Neodiprion lecontei: one gene and its partner. The protein of the gene in region 1 purifies or fractionates together with the protein of each later gene. This does not show direct contact. Links are inferred from orthologs where the notes say so. Each region holds a gene or a part of one and is shown on either strand. Other genes may lie near its edges.

Region 1 (10,699 bases):
CCTCCCGCTGCCCTTTTTCTGGGCCCTGTTTGATCAGCAAGGATCAAGATGGACGATCCAAGCGACACGAATGGACGGCCAGATCGGCAGTTTTCTCCTAAAGCCGGACCAGATGCAAGTGGTCAATCCACTGCTTATCATCATATTGATACCGATTTTCGAAACCGCAATTTATCCCTGCCTTAACAAGTTGCGTCTGCTGCGAACTCCTCTGCAGAAGCTCACCACCGGTGGACTCTTGGCTGGAATTGCATTCATAATTTCTGCCATCGTGGAGTTGCAGCTTGAGGTATAAATTTTAACCACTATAAAAGTGCTATTCCTCATCAGTTTCAACAGTACAATTATAATTATGGAATCTTCTAGAACCATGCAAACGTCAAGAACGTATAATTTCAGATTTCCTTAATATATTTCAGTCAACGTATCCCGTGCTTCCTTCGTCTGGACTAGCCCAAGTCAGAGTCTTCAACACCTTGAATTGTCCGATCACAATGACAGTCGGAGATGATTCTTTTGTGCTGGAAAACATGGAGGTTTGGGAAAATAAGTACGTTGAGGCCAACGGTAACGTTAGTCTCGCTTACACTGCCAATTTCGCTAGTTGTTCGAGTCTTGGCGTGACAGATACGTTGAACGGAGCCGTGAGTGGTAAGTGGGGAATGTTTGTACGCATTGTAAAAAAGAGCCACATCACCTTTCGTACACGAAGAGAATAAAAGAGCAGATGTACTAAAAACTTCAGGAACAAAGGAACACATCATATGATTTGGTAAAATATACTTTGCAAAATGCAGAATTTATTCTAGAAACAGTGAAAACTACTGTGTGCAAAGTAAAATCTACTAAATTTCTAGTAAAAAATATAATTGACATCGGTATTTTTTTACCAAAAACCCCGATGTGTCCTTCTTTTCTTACAGTTTTGAGTAAAATCGCTCTTTTTTTTCTCTCCGTGTACCTTTGCGGAATAATTTCACGGAAAGATATCCCGTCTGCATTTACGCAATACAAGGGAGATTTCTAACGAAATCCGGCTGCATTTCGGCAACTCCGAGTACATTTTAACGATCGAAATTTGTCTCTCATGGTCTACGATTGGACGTAAAGAGAAGAGTCGGCCAATCGCGAACAATGAGCAAAATTTCAACTGGCAAGGAGTACCCTGTATTGCATAAGTGCAAGCGAATTCACCACGCGATGAATTATCCTCGTAATATTCTTGTGGAATGACCTGATATACGGTTACTTAATGAACATGTGAAACGTTTCAGGAACCATTTATGGAACTGAAGCTACTGCCACTTCATGGGTCGTAACGAAAGATGGAATAAGCAACAGCTACGTGGACAGCGTGTCCAAGACGACGAGTGGAGATCCGGCTGTCCGAGCTTTGGTTTACCTCAACTCGTCGGTCGGGGATACGGCTAATCTAAACTTTATTGAAAATTCGAAAACCGTCCTGTCTTTGGAGGTGATATCGCCGTTCAACGTAACTGATCTTACCGAACTTGATCCTGGTACCTATGACATATATTTGGATGAGACCTTGGTAGAATCGTCAGTAGTGTTAAAGCTCGGAGGTGTCTACACCGTCACAGCTTACGTGAACGATCTCAGTTCCGCCACTGCCAACACCATTACGATCACCGAACCAAACTCCATGCACATGCTCTGGCTTTTGCCACAGTACATCGTGATCACTGTCGGAGAAGTTATGTTCTCTATCACTGGTCTTGAGTTTGCCTTCACCCAAGCACCGGTCAGTATGAAAGCCTTGCTCCAGGCTTGCTGGCTTCTTACGGTCGCCTTTGGTAATCTTATCGTCGTTATCGTTGCCGAAGTAGCCTTCTTCGATAGCCAGGTAAGAATGGCTGTATACTTTACTTGAATACCACGATCTCGATATTTTTTTCATGCATCTTGTAATGTCGCGAACAGGATTTTAGATATTTATCATGTTTAAATTTTCACATTTGCATGCGTTCCAATTTCATTAATAGTACTACGTAATAGTCTATACTATATGTCCAAGAATGATCAAAATTATTAATGAATCCTTTTCAAATCGAGTTTGAGCTTTATTAGGTGTGAGTACCTTTTCGTTATAACAATCGTTTTCGTTTTATTTTCCAGGCGAGTGAATTCTTCCTATTCGCCGGCCTCATGTTTGTAGACATGTTAATATTTGGTATTCTTGCTTGGTTTTACAAGTACGTCGAGATTGCGGAAGATGAAGATGAACTTCCTAATGGAGATATCGTTCTTAACGAAAAGTCTGGTACAACGAACCCGTCATTCAAAGACGATGGCGGTAAGTGATTTGTCCTGGCATCAAACCAGACTGGTTGTGAAACACTTGAAGATACCTTTTATCTACAAAATGTGTTCTACGTGAATTCGAACTGCTGTATATATACACCCCATTTACAACTTAACGTTTCATAATTGTAAATAAATTTAATGCCTTTATACATATCCATATACAGACGTGACCAGTTCGTTATGTTGTGTAAATAAAATTTATCTCTTTAACATTAGGTCAACGATTATTTAATTAAAACGTTTCAGTAACCGTCAGTAATTATACATATGGTTTCGTTTGTTATATTATTAGCATCAAAGAGCCGACCTCTAAAGGCTAATTTTTCATTTTCTCGAATGGTATCCAATATTTGAATTTTTTATTCTTACTCGAAATTTGGCTCTCAGTTGTGAGTATTTTGTAGCTCAAGACTTCCTTTAATAAAGCACTGTGTTCACGAGACCAAAAATCACAGCAAGTTCGCAGATTTAAGTTTCGTAGCAAGCATTGCGCATGTGCAGTACTTAATTATGGGCTGTAGGGTGAGTCCAATTTTCCTCGACTCAATTCAATTCACTGAGCACCCGAAAAACCCATCTAAAAAAACCTGGTCCGAACAAACCCGGTCTAAAAAAAATTTCTCTTTTAATATTGTTTTTTGATGAAAGGTGAAGAGCGTGTATTTTTATATTATATGTGTTTATCAAGTATTGGGAAAACGTCGAATGAATAATTGGCCTTAAAATAATACCTTATACCTAGTAACTATGTTATAAAGTAATAAACATGACTGTGAACTCGTTCATAGTATATCATGAGCATCTACTAGACAAAACTGTAGTAGCACGCTTGCAGGAAGCAAAAATTGTTTGCAGAATGGTTTGATTCATACACTAAATTATTGATTAATAGTTAATAAATTAACCAAATGGGTTATATCATTAATTCCATGTTCAATGACGCTAAACAGAAATGCAATACTCATCGCATCACAAATGTGTAATGAATCAGATCCAATTTTACTCGGGTTTTATGAGGAAAAACCTGAGAGAACCTGGATTTTTGAGACTTTAAGGGCATGTGATAGCGCTTTTGTATCGACCGAATTAGTTGATCCTTATTTTTTGGTATCATTAGTAAACTAAGAAATGAAATTTGTTCATGGCAGAGCATTGCGTTTCCTTAATATTTGTCTTGTGGCCTTTTCAGAATATTAGAAAGTGTCTTGAAGAAGTTCTATACATCAGTTCATCATTAGTGACGAAAAATAACAGCCAGTAGACTCGCAGGGGGTGGACTACTTATACTCTCCTCCATACGGTATTCAAAAGGTTTGAACCAAAGCGATACCACAACTATGGGACAAAAGTATATAATATAAAATTTTATTTGGCTACATTTTTGGTCGCCGAGTCTATGGTCGCCACAAACACTGAATTACCAATTCGTACGTAAAGTTGACCGAGCAACTTGAGTTTTTTTCAATTTCGATTATCCAATCGTTTGATAGTCGATTGGTGTGGCGGTAGTGATAGTATAAAATGTTCTATAATATCTTTAGTCCTAATCACTATTATGTTGGCTACAGTTTGGTCCAAGCCCGACGAGTAATTTGTCCGTGGAATGGTAGTGTCCACCCCAGCCTCCTGACACACGCTGCTAAAAGTGGTTCGCAAAATGTCCCTCGATTCTGCCGCCAATTCCCACCACTAGTGGCGCTAGTAGTTGTCTGACAAGCTTGCGCGCGCTCAGCGAGGGCAGCGAGCGTGTCAGAAGTCTACTAGCGCCACGTAGAGGAACTAAAAAACGGGGACAAAACGCGTACAAGTTTTCAGTATACGAGCAGTGGTGAGTGTTAGGAGGCTGGTGCACCCCATAGACTTCGATCACTGATCTCTATAGTGCCCCTGATTGACTCGCTCGATAAAAAAGGCCTACTACAACGTATGAAGGTAGGAAGTGATGAGTTTGCGAACGCACGTACTGGACTTTGATCGTCGACAAGGGGTTCAGGGCGGGGAGGGTTCCATACGTACGACTGCCGGGCGTCTCTGACGTCATTGATAGGCTGCCAAGATGGCTGTCAATGTTGATAAGTGGTTTGGTTACTTACGATACCTGTGATATTGAATTCGATAGGGGCCTCGCGTCGGGGATACTATGTTGGTGAAATAACAAGTTGTTTAGTGACCGAGACAAGAAGCTGTCACCGTTTCTCATGGCGGACAGCGAGGAGGCTGAACAGGACATTCGGCGAGCCCTAGATGTCGATCAATCCATGATTGACATCTGGGCCGATCGGCTTGAAGGCTTACGGACTCAGTGCTCTACCAGCGCGGAGTTAACACAACAAGAAATACGCACGCTGGAGGTACACGATGCATTTTTTCTTATGAAATTGGCCGCCTTTTGCTTCGCTAATTTCCCGATATCACTCGCCTATTCATGTTCCTTCTTGCTCCAAATCCGCTTGACCTGTTACAGGAAATAGAAAATATATCAATCATTCCTTTCTCCTGCTACTCTAAGCCTCGAATATTCCTATTTTCCAATTAAAAAATCCGTCCAATTATTTAAAATTGATCAATCGTATCGCACTGATTCTAATATAGGCCGGTATAATAATTCTCGAGAACATGATGCGCCAAGGCTTATCATTTAATTCTTGGAAACGAGCTGTCGATAAATACAGTTGTAATTCAATGTTTGATACCATGTTTTCAGTTAAACAAAATTCTCACAACATTCAGTGATTCTAAAAACATCACCGCTTGTCGTGTTAAGAATTTCTTTTTATTTCTTAATGTGTACCTTATCCACAGGGTAGGATTCTGTGCCAAGTAGCAGAGAATTCATTCATATGAAAAGTATCTTTCAAAGACTTGTCAGTCTTCAATTTTCCTTCTACAAGAAATTGATAACACTGCTATTATTGCATAGTTACTCGTTTCTTTCTTTTAAAACACAGTATCGGTTAAAATGTATTCTTTGTGATTTGTATTCCCTTGACCCAGTTAGTTTAATAATCAAGTGGCGCACTGCAAAAGTTTCAGTGTCACTTCATAGGAAGTCAGTCTTAAAATTTTACAATCAGCATCAAATTATTGTAGCATGGTAATATTCATAAAAATTGTGTTATGTTTGTTTTGTTTTTTTTAGTCCTTAAGTTGATTTCAGATGGTTGATCTAAGAGCAGAATGTTTGTTATTGAAACATTGTTGCTTAGAAAGTTTTCTGTGTTAATCACAAGCCGGAACCAATTTTCCTCGTTATACTTCAAAAATATCTAGAACAAGATTGATTATGCTAACATGACATATTCCTTACTTCATAAACTTTAATGACAAAGTCAGCGAAATGGGGTCAGCATCTAAACTCTAAAAAATTGATTTTTCAAACTCAGAAGATCTCCGTTCGTAGCACTTTTCTCGGAGCATTTTAATTTTCTTCTATTCTACCATTGTGTGATGACATAATTTTACAATTAATACTCAAGAAACCTGGAAATTACTACGATTTTTACTGTTCTAAGTGTAAAAATATATGGTATACTTTATAAAATTTCATGAATCTATCCAAGTTAACAATACATCTGTATAATAAAAATTGTTTGGTAACAACGCCTCCAATGAATTAACTGCTCTTATGTCTAAAATAAAACTGCTTATTCAGTATATTTCAAGTTCAGTGTTCAAGTTCAAATTTGCCACACTTCAAGTATAAAAAACATGATTTTGGATAAATGAGAGATTGAGGAATAATATCCACGTGTTTTTTTTTTTCAGTCTATTATCAGTCTATTTGTCAAATAACCGTTAAACATTTATGACAACTATGTTGTAGATTTAAAAAAATTTTAAATACACTTTGGGAATCTCAATTTTCATGCAAAATGCGTCTCATTGCCTAATAAAGCCAAGTTCTAAGTTCCCGAAAGAATTCCATACAATACTTCAAACTTCGACAATGATTCAACTATCATGGACAAATTTTTTTGGTTGTTACCATGGCATTGTTAGTACAGCCACATTAATATGTCAATTTCCTGCAGTTCTCTATGACCTGTACAAATTATACTGTGTTTTCACATGGGATTTCAACATGCTGTAGTTTTGTACCCAATCAATTTTCAATTTCCACACATTTGAACTTGGTCAAACTATTGAATTGTAGGTACGATTTATAAAAAAGTCTTACACCAATCTTATTCAATCAGTGAAGTGATGCCTCTTGTTTCTTACATTTCTGTCCATAATCTAGTCGACATTGATAAAAAAAATTCCAAGTAAATATCAAAAGCATGTCTTGTGGAAAGGAACAAGGAAATTCGTTTTTATTTATACTAAGGATTTACATATACAGAAGAAAAAGCTGATTTCTTTAATTTGAAGATGCATATTTTGCATATATGTCTACTGTTTTATTTATCTCTGCATTTTTAAATCCGTTTATTCTACCACCTTTCAACTTCTTCCTTAGGTTTTAGCTGTTGCGATGAATTTGGAACTCAACATTGAGTTTCATGATTGTGTTCGTTATAATTTTGTAAAATAATATACATGATACGAAACTCATTTTTAGATTATTAAAATATTTGTATATCAAACTTTTAAGCCAGCTATTCTTCGGAAAGATAAAAGTTTAAAGATGACTACGCATTTAATATACAAGACACAAATATTCTGTCAGAGTGTTATTACATTGACTGATGCCGCATAATAAACATGATTATTTTAAAGATACAAAAAATAAAAAGTATAACGAATAATCTAATGATATATTTTTTTCGTCAACAGGGAAAATTGATAAAATTATATTCCAAACAACTTGTGAGGAAGGCTAAGCTTGCTGTCGAGTCATTGCCTGTTGAAATGAGGCAATATCCATCTCTGCAACAATGGCTTCGCGTTGTTGGCCTAACTCAAGAATCAATTCAGGTATCGTTAATTGCGATACTATTTTCAGCAGCTTTCAATTCTATTAAATGTACTATAGATCATTATTAGTATAAATGCTAAAGTGACACTAAATTGACCCACTATTGTGAAGATTACACGGATACATACAAATTATGTAATTACAGATGGTTTGTTCGAAAGCGAGTTCTCTGGAAGCGTTGAAAGAAAAGTCGGAGCATGAATTGGGTAGTATGCTGGGCGAGAACAATTTGCGTCACGAAGAAGAACTCCGTAGGCTCTGTAGGGCGTTACACAATCTGCACCGTTACATGGGTGAGCTTTGTAGTTCCTGTGTCGTATACAAAATTTAACACCAGTATGCATAAGTGATAAAATCACTTGACCCTTGGTAGTAAGTATTATATTTTAAACACTTCATTCAATGTAATGCAATTGTGTTACAGACGTTCTTTTGCGGGGCGATATGGAAAGTAGCGAGATGGCTCTGTATTGGGACTCCTGGGACAGACATCATCTACGAGGAGGGCCATCTCCTCGTTCAGCACGCTCTCGTACTACGCGTTGTTCCGTACCCTCTGAAGATAGCATTCCATATCACAATAACAATAATCTCAACAGCGATACATTGGGCCAAGCATCGTCTATAAGTTCTCTGTCGATGACAACACCCCCCTCTACGCCACTTTTGAACAGACAGGGCCGCAGTACGTTGCTTCAATTGATTTCTATCGTTTGAGGGACCACGTACAAGTAGATCGCTGATTTTCGGTATTTTATATCTCGACAGCCGATTATTCGGTTTGATCAGGTTTTTTTTAAATTCAAAAGTATGTGGATCAACTTTCGTTACAGTCATTTTTGTATTAGAATCAATTAATAGGAAGCTTTGTTAGTGACGGTAACACCCACGACGTCACTAACAGCGCAACCAATTTACTTCTAATTTGGAGACTGTATTTTTGAATATTTATCCCTTTTGCTGCTATCGCTCCTTTTCTTTAATCATAGTTTTCCTATTATAATTGAATATAATTTCTTTGACTTTGAACAAAAAAACTACAGAAATTCAACTTTAAATGGTCGCTATTTTATTGAATGAAGTAAAAAAAAAATAATAATAAGAGAAACTATTTCAGAATACTGTGTCCAAATTTCAAGTAAATTGGTTCAGCCATTTTTGAGGAATCACAGATACCACGAAACTCATCACCAAGTAAAGTAACGTCATTGTCGATGACAATATTCCCTCTTGATTCATTGTAGTAAAAATATATATATATATATATATATATATATATATATATATATATATATATAAATGCAGCTCGATTTGTATACTTTCAAATAAAGCAAATCCTAATTGAATTGTGTAATCAGTTGTTGAGGTATAAATTGCCGAAATTTACACAACTTTTGAGGCATCTACTCATATATATATACCCTACCTTAAGCAATGTAAAACGATCCATGATTATGAAAATTTCTCGTTCTTCCAGACGCAAGAGTTCCGACAACGCCTCCTCCCTGCAAGAGACACCAAACTGGCCTACAAAGTACTGTGACACAGCCTGAAGTATTTCCGCTAACTAAATCCAAATCACACGAATCACAGTTGGCCAATCGTCTAGAAAATGGGGAAACAGCGTCAAGGTTGTACTTTATTTTCAATATACTGTAAAGCATTACAGTCACCTGCTGATGATCTTGGAGACAAATATTCCATCTCATTCGGTTTAAATTATAACCTGTAATGTTAACGCTAAGAATAATTATAACTTGTTTGATAATTGGATTTACTTAATTTGCATGCCCATGTTGTAACAGTGGTGCAGATCCAACCGTTGGTAGCAGTACCACTAGAGCAAGATTGTCTACTGAGCCAGGTCCTCGTAGCAGTAGCGCAGACATTACTGGAGACATTCTTTTGGGTAACAGTAACACTGACAGTCCTATAAACTCGCCACCCTATTCCAGCGCTAACAGTGACGATAACAGCTTTAAGGCTACAGGTTAGATAATTCTCTACCTTTATTACAGATTTACCAATATATTTATTCGTAGAGTAAGGCGATGTGAAAGAGTTTATTTGTATTTAAAATTGTACATCATTGCCTGGAATTACTTACGCGGTTAAAAATGGATAAATTTTGGGAATTGATACGTTGACAATCAATTAAATTCGATCGGCATTTTGTTTATATCTAAGCACGTGAACCGAGGTTTGTTTGTGTAAATTTTTTAACAAATAAAACTCCCATAAATTGATTCTCATAAAAACAATATGTGAACACAGCTCGATGTTCTTACTTTTTGATAAAATAAACCTCAATCAAATTGAATGATTGTTTGTCGAGATATAAATTCCCAGAATTCACCCATTTTTCAAGCCGTCTACCATTTAAGATTTTCTCTTATTATTTTCAGTCACGAGTCTTCAGGTGCCAAAGTCTCCACGAACTCCCACAGTGACTCGTGGCATGGGTCACGTTATTGCTCACCGTTTTACTAAAACCTTTAAAATGATGACCACTTGTGATTATTGTGATAAACAAATGTTCATTGGCACAGGTCTTAAGTGCAAGGAATGCAAATATAAGTGCCATAGAGATTGTGAGTCTAAAGTTCCACCGTCTTGCGGTCTTCCTCAAAAACTGTTTGATGAATTCAAACGAACTATACAGGCCGATGGTAAGTATTAGAATAATATTACATCAGCGTAGGTTCTTCGTAGGTTTCAGGTTTAATGGATTCTTTTACCTAATGATGAATTGAGAAATTGTAACAGATACGGTATTGAAAATTTGTCTATTTTATCATGGGAATCATTAATAAATCAGAATTCAAATCTACTTTACCAAAAATTAGACGTTTATACAAAACCAATCGTTATCAACATATCCTCCGTTTTTTTCTGTAACTCTTTAGTTTCTGGTTCAACAATGTGTGTTGAATTAACAAAATTTATGTAAACTTGACGGTGACTCAAGTAATTATTCGTATAATTAAAAATTTGCCATCAGGTGCGTGAAATTGATGAAAAAGGTATTAAATTATCTATATCAACTCGTATTTAGCATAGGTACTATTAAACTGCTAATATAATAGTTATAAAATGTACTGCATTTATTCATTCGCAATTAAAAAAAAAATACAATATCTTTAGCTATGACGAATGTTTCTCCAATACTAACCAGGCCTGGGATAACATCTACAAACCATCATAATGCAATTATATCTGCTACTTTCAATCGGAAACGTACGCATCCTCATTCCTCAATGAATATACCCTTTCAGGTATGTAATTGGTTTCTTTGTTGTTTTTTTTTTTTTTTTAACTTGTAAAAAATATCCAAAGGAGTCGGTCTATCGCTAGTTATGTGTGAAAACCCTCAGACAGGCGACAAAATTAGTGACTGAAATTTTCTGTTGTTTTCGTTTTTTATTTCAACTAACATGAGTAATATTTATGGATAAA
Region 2 (11,309 bases), on another chromosome or scaffold:
ACAATATATAATTTTCAACTATTCTACACCGGTGTGTGAATTGCTTGAAAACCTGCCACAGGCCACTTATTCAAATTATCTTTCAACACTGAGGGGAACAGAGACAAGAACTTGAAACAGTTTCCCATTTTGTCTTCGTCTGTAATCATACTGTATCCCGAAATTAATGCTTTTCTGGTACTGTCGTCGGATGCTTTCTTCAACAGCATAATCAGCCTGGTGTCGATACCAAGCTGTTTTAAAAAATGTCTCTGGGTGACGGGGCCAAATGATATCAGACGATTATTTTGACATGCTATTCTCCTCAGCAGTGAGAAGTCAACGTCTGCAGTCAAGTCAGCTGTTCCTGGATTCGTGAGTGGATCCTGCTGCTTGTGATTACGGAAAGCTCGAAACGTGTCTGTTCGATCTCCGTTATGACCGTAGTCAGCAATAAGCGCGAATCCTCCGTTTCCTATGAGAAAATTTGCAATATAATCTATAATTACGGCGGTTTGCGGGCTTGTTTCGATGTGATCCCTGCGTTCGTGTTCCTAAAAAAAATTGATGCATATAAATTAGTGACATAAATCATGTAATTTTACATGTATGGGTCATATGTGCTAGAATTCTCAACAACGGTTATATTTAAAATTGCGTATCTCATTTAGATATTTCAAATTTGTAATAACTGTTTCACACATACTTATTCGGACAGCAAACAACAGACTCTAAACCTTATTCATCATCAAATGTAACTTATCTTCATTTGTTTTAGAAAGTTAGATATTTCCTACGCTCACTAATGCTTACAGAGATGTAAAACTTGGTATTCGGAGTAGCTGACCTAGACAAGACGTAGCGAAATTTTTCAGTCTCTTTCGACTCTGAATGGATGTCGATTAAAATTTCTCTCCATCCCTCGTTTGTTTTCTAAAAAAGGAAGAAGCAATGTTTTAAATTGGCAGCTAAGAAGCTGGAAATTCCATCTTCACGCTCAGATTAGTTCACCTGAAACTTATGTATGGGCATAGCGTCGAAAAATTCCTGTGCAATTATGATGCTGAAACCAGAAGGAACATCGTGGATGGTTCGATACCAGAACACTGTGACACCATCCTCTGTTGTGCCATGTTTGTAATAAGATTGACATTTGTCATTGTCAATTTCTTCATATGTTTTGCATAAATTCTTTGCTTGCAGGTCAGACAGTGTTGGGCTGACCTCTACCAAATGTAATGAAACTCTGGAGGATAATCCCAGTTTGTGGTAAACCTGAACGACAGAGACACCTATCTATCAGCAATACTACAAGAGAGAGGAAGGCCCTTGCTTCGCTATATGCTCAATAAAAGTGAGACCAGCTAATAAAATGCATGCAAGATAGTCAACAAGTCCATAGAACCGTGTAAAGAGTTTAATCAACATAGATAAAACAAATACCAGAAAGCATTAGGTTCAAAATTAAAGTTTAAAGATCAAATATAGACTGGTAAGTGAAGTTAGCATTGAAATATTTCTTATACTGTTCTAGTCAGCTGAAGAGCTGAAAATCTATGCATTTAACTTATTAGAAATTCATACAATCACTTGAAACTTATCATGCATAAACCATTACCACCAGATAGATTAAATACACGTTTGAGTTTTGATTCGTAACTCTTCAAGCCTACATACAGCATTTTGGATAAGTTTTGCAAATTTCAGGTAATTTGGTTGTCTGGCAGAGTGGGCAATATTTCGAAGTAAAAATTATAAGCCTCAAAGCTAATTTTTTTTTTTTGGTTCTAGTGTATCTGAACTAAACGAACAAAGGTGAGCCTTGGACTAATGAGATCTTTTGACACACCCTGAGTATATCTTTTGATAAGGTTCCTCGTCCCGGACCTAATTCCACCAGCTGCACAGATTGGTTGCTTATTTTTCTCCATTCGTTTACAGACCAGACAGCAATCATCTATCGAAATGTCTAAGATTAATCAATACTGCATATCTAATAATAATAAAAACAACAATTGATGAAAGGGTTAGCGATGATCGTTTATTGCTTTTGTAGGCCATCAGGATTACCTCTCCAAATAGCTGGCTGATTTCTGGGGAAGTAGTGAAGTCACCTTCAGTGCCAAAAACGTCTTTATTCATGTAATATCCAGCACTTGGAGAGGTCAAAACTTCCCTCATATATTCAGCTATAGTTATGGGCCCGCCGGCCAATATTCGGGAGTAAAGATGCCTATATAAAATCGACTTCTCCTTTTGAGGATCATCCTTAGTACCGGTCGAAACGTAGCGACCTTTCAAAACAGATGCCAATTGATAGGTACGATCGGTAGTGCAATAACGGTCTACCAAGTGTCGTACTATTTTCGGGGAACCAATAAATTGCTTACACGACACCGGGAACATGTCACGCGGCTGCGATGCTGATATTTTTTTCTACGGGAAAAGTGAAACCTATCCCGGTACAACAAATTTACACCTCCCCGTTTCGATTTCAAAGAACGTTATCGTGCCCTACGCGCACCGCCTCACGTCGTTAACGAAACGTACACGTCTTGCGAACTTTCGAAGATTACGCGATTTCTCAGTATGTTGCACTACGTGATGTGCGGTTGAGGTTAGTCACGAGGAAATCCGACGTCGGTTAAGAAGGCATCACTTGCGACAATCGCGTTCAGTATTCAACCGTCGCGGATTCTTTGTAGATTCATTTCATTCTCATTGAACGTGTAGATAAATCAGTGTTGTGGCAGCACAATGTGGCTGTCAAATTCAGTGATCGTTATTTTGTTCTTATTCCCAACGTTCGGTGTCGACGCTAATTACTTCGGGACAAGCAATGATAACGATGACCAATGTTTCTGTAAGGTGAGATGATCATTCCAGGCATCGTCCTTGATCTTGACCTGACAAATATGTGACCTCGTTAACATAACCCCAAAACAACAGATGTCAACTGAACGAATTTCCAGAGTACTATCTCGATTACGCAATCAAAAAATAACAACAGTATTGTTTACGCAGCTTTTCACGCTACCAACGAGCGACCGATTCGACGTTTCAATTTCTTATTATTATTGTCTTCAATAGTTCCCGTTATTGTTGTTATTATTATGATCGTTGTCATCCTTTGACGAGCATTATAGAGCATTAGAGGAACAAAATTACAATTATCGTCGTAATTTTGAAGTCCGTACAAACATTTCTTCACTTGCCTGTCTATAGTCCGTATGTTTGTTACCTCTGCTTTTGTACAGTATGATGAGAAAATTTGAAAACAGTGTCAGCATTATTTTATCTTGTTACCATTGCCTTGGTAGCTCAAAGGATCCATAGATGACTGTAGTTGCAGCGTGGATACAGTCGATCATTTCAATAATATGAAAATATATCCGAGGTTAAGGAGTCTATTGGTTAAGGATTACTTCAGATTTTACAAAGTCAACTTGAAACAAGAATGTCCTTTCTGGTCAGATGACAGCAGATGTGCGATACGCTACTGTCATGTAGAACCATGCCAAGATGTAAGTGTAGTAAATTATTCATTCAATTATGTATTTATCTGTTATGCATAAATATTTCAGTGTAATTGAGAATTTTTTTACAGGAAGATATACCAGCTGGACTGAAAGGAGATGTATCTAGGCATAATCATTACAACGAAAATCCAGCCGATAAGTACAGTGCTCCTAGACCGCTAGAAGACTGCGAAAGAAGTTCTCAAGACTATAACAAAGAGCTTGGATATTTAAACACGACGATTAGGTAAAGGGATAGTTATGATGAACCAATTCTTGCAAAATGTTAAAAATACCGCACTAACTCACAGTTTGATAACAGGTTTAGCTCAAATAATAGATGTACGGTTAATTACGTTATTTCGTTCTAGTGTAAAAAATTATGAGGAATTTGAAATGTGGCAAAAGCACGACGACGCTGTCGATAATTTCTGTGTGAGTGAAACAAGTCCTGGTGAATATGTTGATTTGTTGCTAAATCCTGAAAGGTATACAGGCTATAGGGGCCCCAGTGCTCATAGAATATGGAGAAGTATCTATATGGAAAATTGCTTCAGGTAATTATTTTTGAAATTTCTGAGTTTTTGAAACTTTTATCCTTACGTTTTTGGATGTATATTATAACAGCCATTAATTATTTCTAGGCCAGAGAAGTCTACTCGCAACTTTGTACAATCAAAAATGAACGGTAAATTTCATTGAGAAACCAGACATTTTTACATATCTTATCTCCACATCATCCTTTGGATAAGATTTTAAGATATTGACTCTGATGGACATAATTCATTGATTATTTTTCACGGAATGGGATGACCTTGTATTCTATTTGAGTTTATGCACAAATTATATGAGTAACACCAAAATATTACATTTTACAGGAATGTGCTTAGAGAAGAGAGTCTTCTATAGAGTTGTATCAGGGTTACACTCGAGCATCAACATTCACCTGTGCTCCAAGTATTTATTGTCAGAAAAGGATAGTTTGGAAACTGTGTCAGCTGGTGCTCAATGGGGTCCAAATTTATCAGAACTACAGAGGAGATTCTCTCCGGAAACAACTGGAGGCGAAGGACCAACTTGGCTGAAAAATTTGTATTTCATTTATCTGCTTGAATTAAGAGCATTGGCGAAGGCTGCGCCTTATTTATTGAGAGAAGAATATTATACTGGTAATGACGAGGATGATCGCGATACCAGATTGGCTGTTCATGATTTCTTGAATGTCGTAAGGTAAATACGCACATGTGTTTCGTTTTTGCTTATAACGAGCTCAATATTTTGATACATTTTAGAATATTTTCAGGTCATTTCCTGATCACTTCAACGAAAGTGTTATGTTCAATGGAGGAGCACAGGATAAAGCGTTGAAAGAAGAGTTTAGACAACATTTCAGAAATATATCAAGGATTATGGACTGCGTTGGTTGCGACAAGTGCAAACTCTGGGGAAAGTTGCAGATCCACGGATTGGGAACGGCATTGAAAATATTATTTTCTGGAAAGTTTGATAGATGGGAACCAACATTGGATGATATTACAAAGCAACAGTTTTATCTTGAGAGAAGTGAAATAGTTGCATTGATCAACGCTTTTGGAAGGTCGGTATGATATCTATTTTTGTTTTGAATCCAAAATTCAAGTCATTAAATATTGAATTATTTACAGGTTGTCTGACAGTGTTTTCGAACTGGAAATGTTCCGACAAATGATGAGATAGCACAATGATGACGTTGAGGAGTGAATATTTTTATTGGCTTTTTTTCAGACTTAAACATCACACGTAGGTTATATAATATTCATAATAATGTCGGTATAGCTTTGACTTATACATGTTAAGTACACATTACAGTCACAAAAAATACGTTAATTTGATCAGGTGTAACATTTGTTTCACACGGAGTGGCATTCCTGTAGTCAACGTTCATAGAGTTCAATTTCGTTATAACGCTTTTTAAGTAAATATATCTCGAATTCGTTGCAAGCGTGAAAATGCGATATGCGGGTGTAAAAAGTAGAGTTTAAGAAATTTACCAACGGTAATGACACGCACAATTCGAATCGTATTTGAGACTGTTGTAGCTTGAAAGCTCCGGTGGTTTTTGATTTTACAGAAAATTACGATCCAGAACGCGAAACGTTGGATGCGAGAGAGTTGTAATAATTTAATGACGAGAAATCTTATCTCTACAAATTGAATCAATTGAAGCTCTCTGCAATATTTTTATGATTATTCCTAAGTTCCGTTTCTTTTACCAATGAAAGTGTTTGGGGAAATAAACATCACTATTCAGAAGTAGGAACAAAAGAGATATAGGTCCTGTAATAAGTTGAATGGGTAACGGGAAACGTCAGACATGAGCATTCTATTTCTTATGTTACTGTTTCACTGACAATGAATGAAAGCATGATGTATCTGTAAAATAATCTATCTCTACTGTCTGTGATACATACTTTCCTCCAGTGGGTATAATAGGCGTAATGATTATCGGTGTATTATACAATGTATATTCTTACCGTTTATAACTATCCAATTTCCAAATAGTAGGCTCAACGCATATATCTTTTCTTTCGCTCGGAAAAGTTATTATTCATAATGAATGATTTATTCCATGAACAGTATATGTAGTATAATTGTAATATCAAAGCCCGATCTGATCTCTGAACAAATATGAAACATTCTGTGAAGGCGGGAAAATGGCTGATATAGCTACATCAATGACTATCAATATTACATGCATATTATGGAACAGACAATGTGAAAAGGTGGCTCTTAAAATTATAAAATTCCATATTTTAACCAACCTAGTTTCAACGGAATTTCATAATTAAGACTATAAGTTACAACGATATATCTCTGTATATTTCAAAACATTGATAAGTCGAGAATTTTTATTGTTGTATACATATTATACAATACAATATTTGAACGAAACTTAAAGAATTTGTACCAATCTATTATGAGCACAGTTCATTTATTAACGCTATGGTGCAGTCGTTTATTATTTGGTATACACATATTTTTAAGAATTTATGCAAGATGTTTACAATAATTTAGTAAACCTTTCTGCCTGCGTTATGCTTCAAGAGTAGGTGGAAACTTTGGCATTGCATATTGTTATATATATTATAGTCGAACAAAGTGAAATATTTATTGCAATTTAAAATTATGTAAATAATTTATAATGAAAAAATATTGAAACAATATAACATTATTTATGATCAATGTATGCTTCAACCTTCTGTTTATTTACGTATTTTTAGTCATTAGGAAATTCAGTTTTTCTTCTCTTTATCAATTACGTATCTGTATCAAAATCGGATGTTTTCTCGTACTTTTGTGAGTACTCGACTACTACTCGGTGGAACCTATAAACATTACAAAAGAATTCTGTGGTCCGAAACCCCCACCATCGCATTAAGCGTTCCAGTATCATTATATTTCAGTCTATCGTGATTTCAGTGATCTTATGTTATCTCTATCATTGACTGAAGATTATATATCCTCAGTCAACAATCTCTATGAAGGCTAGAGGTAAGAAGTGTTTCATGTGGATTGTCAATTAAAAAAGTGTCCACCAAAAAGCGACAAATAGTGTTCAACAAGTAATCAGAATGGCGTAAATAAGCAATCAGAGTCAATCTGATGAGCGCTTTTTTTTTTAAATGTGAATCTTTTCCTATAGCAGCGCTATCTTGATTGTACTCTATTTCGTGGATACTTTGCTATACGTATCCGACGGAGGCCGCTCGCGTCGCGTGATCTACCTGGAATGTTTGGCATTGTGCATTGGCATTTTGCTTGCACGCTTAGATCCGGAGGCTGTGCAAGTAGCAGTTACCAGCGTTTACCAGAAACCGGTATCACCTGACAATTGTCAAATTTCCTAACCAACAGTACGAGGCAGAAGACCTGTTCCGCACCACTCTTGTACAACACAACAATGGTCGATTACAGCAAGTGGAAAAACATAGAGGTGAGTCCTATCGTAATTCAAAGGCTCCAGTACACGAGGCCGAGCGGACAAGAGAATCTTGGAAGGTTCGAGAAACCGCAGATGCGAATCTGAATCTTAGATAAACGCGATGTTTGCCAATATCGGTTTATTGAGTTAGGAATTTTCTATCGCGCAATTCTTATCGAAGCACAAAATTCAAGCCCTTTCACCAGTTTCCTAGCCTTGAATTTGACAATTAAATGATATTTATACTTCTTGCGTGTACATGAATTAGATTATAAGTAAATTTTTTGTTGAATGAACAAAAAGTGAATTATAAAATTATTTTGCCGAGCTCTGTTCGTTATACCTACTTATAATTCTTTCGTATTTCTTAGATATCTGATGACGAAGATGACACCCATCCCAATATCGATACTCCGTCACTGTTTAGGTGGCGGCATCAGGCTAGATTGGAAAGGATGCAGGAACAAAGAGCAGAACAGGAGAAGCATGAAAGAGAAAAAGAGGAGTAAGACAGTTTCCTGCTAGTAAGACTTGTCAAATTACATAGAATGGTTTGATTTGTCCATTCCTGTTGAAAATTTAGGCATGTTTAAAGGTGTATGAAAAATATTGTGAAAAATGATACACGTGTTGCAGAATTGCGCGAAAGTTGAAAGAGGCGGAGGAAAAGTTGAGCAAGGTAGAAAAGGGTGAGGAAAAGGACCAGCAAGACCTGACATCTGTTAAAAAGGCATTGGAAGAGCTTAAAATGAAAGAGTCTGAGATATTGCACAAGGAAGAAGAATTAAAGAAGAAGGAAAAGTTACAACCTTGGAATGTGGATACAATTGCCCAACCAGGTTTTACAAAGACGGTAATAAATACAAAGCCAGCTAGAAAGGAAGATGAGAGTAACTTGCCAGATGAAGAGAAAGAGAACAGGATGAAGCAGTTTGTTAAGCGTAATGAAAAAACTTTGAAGGAATTTGGTATGCTGCGGAGGTATGACGATAGTAAGAAATATCTCCAGGACCACCCAGATTTGGTTTGCGAAAATACGGCGAATTACTTGGTCATTTGGTGTATCAACTTGGAAATGGAAGAGGTTTGTATACACAAAAAATGTCGATTTATAACAAATTCTTGTATCTTAAATTTGTAGACTGTTTCAAATTCTTTAAATCGCATAGTTATTCACGATGGCCAAAAATGAAACATTCTATAGAATTTATTTTACCTTATGATTAGTACAGTTAAAGAAAGAAAATGAAGAAATGATAATATGCCAATATAGATGTCACGTTACCATTTGAGTAGAAAATTAATCCATTATCCACAAGTCAAAATACTCGTAGAGTCCCATACAGTCAAATCGGAAAAAACACAAGTTTGTGCTATGACTGTATCGTTATTAGCGATTTTGTCAATTTTTCTCCTGAAATACACGTGTGAGGTGAAATTCTCAGGATCTTTTCCTCATTTGTTTTCTGGCTTATAAAAACTAAAATCGCTGCTTCTTGTTTGTGAACTTATTACCCACGAATTTATTCCTATTGTTGCAGAAACACGACCTAATGGAGCATGTAGCTCACCAGTGCATTTGCATGCAGTATATTCTTGAACTCTCCAAGCAGCTAGATGTCGACCCACGTGCCTGTGTCGGATCTTTCTTCAGTCGTATACAAATCGCTGAGGTTGAATATAAAAATTCCTTTGATGACGAACTGAAGTCCTTTAAGGAAAGGATTCGCAAGAGAGCGGCAGAAAAAGTAGCTGAGGCACTAAAAGAAGCCGAAGAGGAAGAACGAAAGAGTCGCCTTGGTCCTGGAGGTCTAGATCCGGTCCAAGTGTTTCAAGAACTTCCTGAGGTTGGTGTTTAAACTGCATATCTACCCCGTGTTTGAAACCTCCCCTACTTGTTTATCTACTACTTATTGCTGATTGCTGACTGGTCTCAATTATCTTCTCCCCTACCTGTTTATCTACTAATTATTCTTATGTGCTGACTGTTGTTCGCAATTTTCTCTTACAAAGTTACTGTTTGTATAATCAGCTCTCAGGATCTTGCTGAGCTCTCACTCTGTATTTCAGGCCTTACAAAAGTGCTTTGAGGCACAGGATATACCGTTGTTGCAACAGACGATAGCATCAATGCCAGAAGAGGAAGCAAGGTACCACATGAAACGATGCATCGATAGCGGACTATGGGTCCCAGATGCAAAGGCTGCTAAAGAACAACAGGAAGAAGAAGAAGCCATCGGAACTCCAGACCCTGAATAATAATATTTAGCACAAATTGACGAAAAATTATTACTCGAATTATTTTTCGTTCAATACAACATGCACTTATACTCAATTGTAATGTATTACATAACTGGGTATTACTTATGTTGCTGTTTTGTCGAAGAACTGATCATTCGTTGAAGAAGAATAATAATCATATTGGTCATGTTGACTAAATGTCAGTCAGATCATATGAAAAGAGTCTTTGAGATTATTGTTCTGATTTATTGGAAGAACTGACAATACAGTGGTGTTACGTCAAATTCAAGACGAAAAGTAAACTAGACATTGTCCATTGCGTATAATGTCTTTTTGCTGTAAAACTGCCGTTTTTTTTTTATCCTTACAAGTGAAAAAAAAATGATTATTATGATTATTGTCATTGTTGTTGTTAATGTTGCTACCGCTATAGCTGCTACATATTACATTCATCGTCGACGCTTCAACGATTCATAATTTCAAGAACAACATGACTGACAGGGGAGATTTCAGTGTCAAATTCTACTCTGTATAAAATTAGAAAATAATAAACCGTGTAAATACGTGCCGATTCTTGAAGTGCAACATCTTATCCTTTAATGAATACTTAGATTTAAAATATACAATAGTGGCCTATCAATTGAACTGAAAAAACTTACAAATTAATTGACAAAATTTTGACCATTTGTCAAGGAAACTACTTTTTAACCAATCAGCGAGCCTAAAATCACTGGTTCGTGGGATAAAAAAAATTCTGAGTAGCCATCACTGCCCAGTGATTCTGATAGAGTAAAACCACGGTCTTACAGACAGTCTGGGCACTCCGGCTGTAAAATCGTGCTCGAAAGTGAAGCCGATATTGTGAATTTTCGCCGCTAGCGCTAGTGAAGGAGAGGCCTACTTAGTACGCATACACCGGCCTCGGAGATTGCAGCGCTCCGTTCTTTGGTGCACAAATTGAGAAACACAGGCTCAAGACGGTCACGCTGCGTTATATAGGAAGGGGCTTGGAGTACCTACTATAAGACCGCGAGTAAAACATTAAAAGAGACGCGTGCGTGTGTGGTGTTACGTGTGTATGCCTGTGTGTTGGGGTTAAGCGTCGAAGTGAATTGTAATTTTTTTCTTTTCAAACCGCAATTTAAGGAAGCCTTATCATGTCTACGAAAGTAAGAACAAAGCAAGAGAAAACCGGCGGTAAGTGTTCCACGTCCTTACAATGATCAATCAGACCATTGAAAAGCGAGGACTAACGAAATACATAGATTATGTATGTAGGTTATGTTTGTTTTTTGCCACATACTGTTTCATGTCATGATCTGTCATAGCGGAACTTATGTGACAACTTGATACAATTTGTTCAAATCATTACATTATGTTCAACATATTTTGCAATAATACTGTCACGTGATAGTTACTGTGACAAATCTTTATTTCAGAGGTGGTCGCTTACAGTGAGGGAGCGGTTAGAAATAATTCAGCTGTCGTCGAATACTGCAGGATATCCATGGCTGCGTTATCTGGAAGTACGGCTGGACTCTTGGGTCTGACTGGACTCTATGGTTTTGGATTTTATATATTCGCTGTAGTTGGGTTATGGGTAAGATACA

The links.
Region 2: the proteins of kinase suppressor of Ras 2 (region 1) and hsp90 co-chaperone Cdc37 purify together in Homo sapiens (affinity purification with mass spectrometry; 3 studies listed by BioGRID and IntAct, with this or other methods). This does not show direct contact. The link is inferred for Neodiprion lecontei from reciprocal best matches to the Homo sapiens genes KSR2 and CDC37.

The regions. Positions count from the first base shown.
Region 1 is NC_060266.1:5,381,201-5,391,899, reverse strand, and holds the start of kinase suppressor of Ras 2, read left to right. Parts: upstream 1-4,357; 5' UTR 4,358-4,523; coding exon 4,524-4,676; intron 4,677-7,101; coding exon 7,102-7,242; intron 7,243-7,388; coding exon 7,389-7,536; intron 7,537-7,667; coding exon 7,668-7,928; intron 7,929-8,720; coding exon 8,721-8,874; intron 8,875-9,048; coding exon 9,049-9,233; intron 9,234-9,648; coding exon 9,649-9,912; intron 9,913-10,387; coding exon 10,388-10,518; intron 10,519-10,699. Other genes in the region: peptide transporter family 1, read left to right, coding at 1-289, 420-651, 1,275-1,864, 2,137-2,322. UniProt on the Homo sapiens protein: Location-regulated scaffold connecting MEK to RAF. Has very low protein kinase activity and can phosphorylate MAP2K1 at several Ser and Thr residues with very low efficiency (in vitro).
Region 2 is NC_060264.1:26,443,509-26,454,817, reverse strand, and holds hsp90 co-chaperone Cdc37, read left to right. Parts: upstream 1-7,251; 5' UTR 7,252-7,437; coding exon 7,438-7,470; intron 7,471-7,829; coding exon 7,830-7,963; intron 7,964-8,094; coding exon 8,095-8,542; intron 8,543-8,999; coding exon 9,000-9,305; intron 9,306-9,528; coding exon 9,529-9,717; 3' UTR 9,718-10,278; downstream 10,279-11,309. Other genes in the region: protein arginine methyltransferase NDUFAF7, mitochondrial, read right to left, coding at 24-533, 793-912, 991-1,254, 1,829-1,936, 2,050-2,385; ero1-like protein, read left to right, coding at 2,737-2,847, 3,300-3,503, 3,587-3,744, 3,869-4,054, 4,142-4,185, 4,376-4,727, 4,801-5,094, 5,162-5,213; ER membrane protein complex subunit 6, read left to right, coding at 10,857-10,896, 11,139-11,299. UniProt on the Homo sapiens protein: Co-chaperone that binds to numerous kinases and promotes their interaction with the Hsp90 complex, resulting in stabilization and promotion of their activity. Inhibits HSP90AA1 ATPase activity.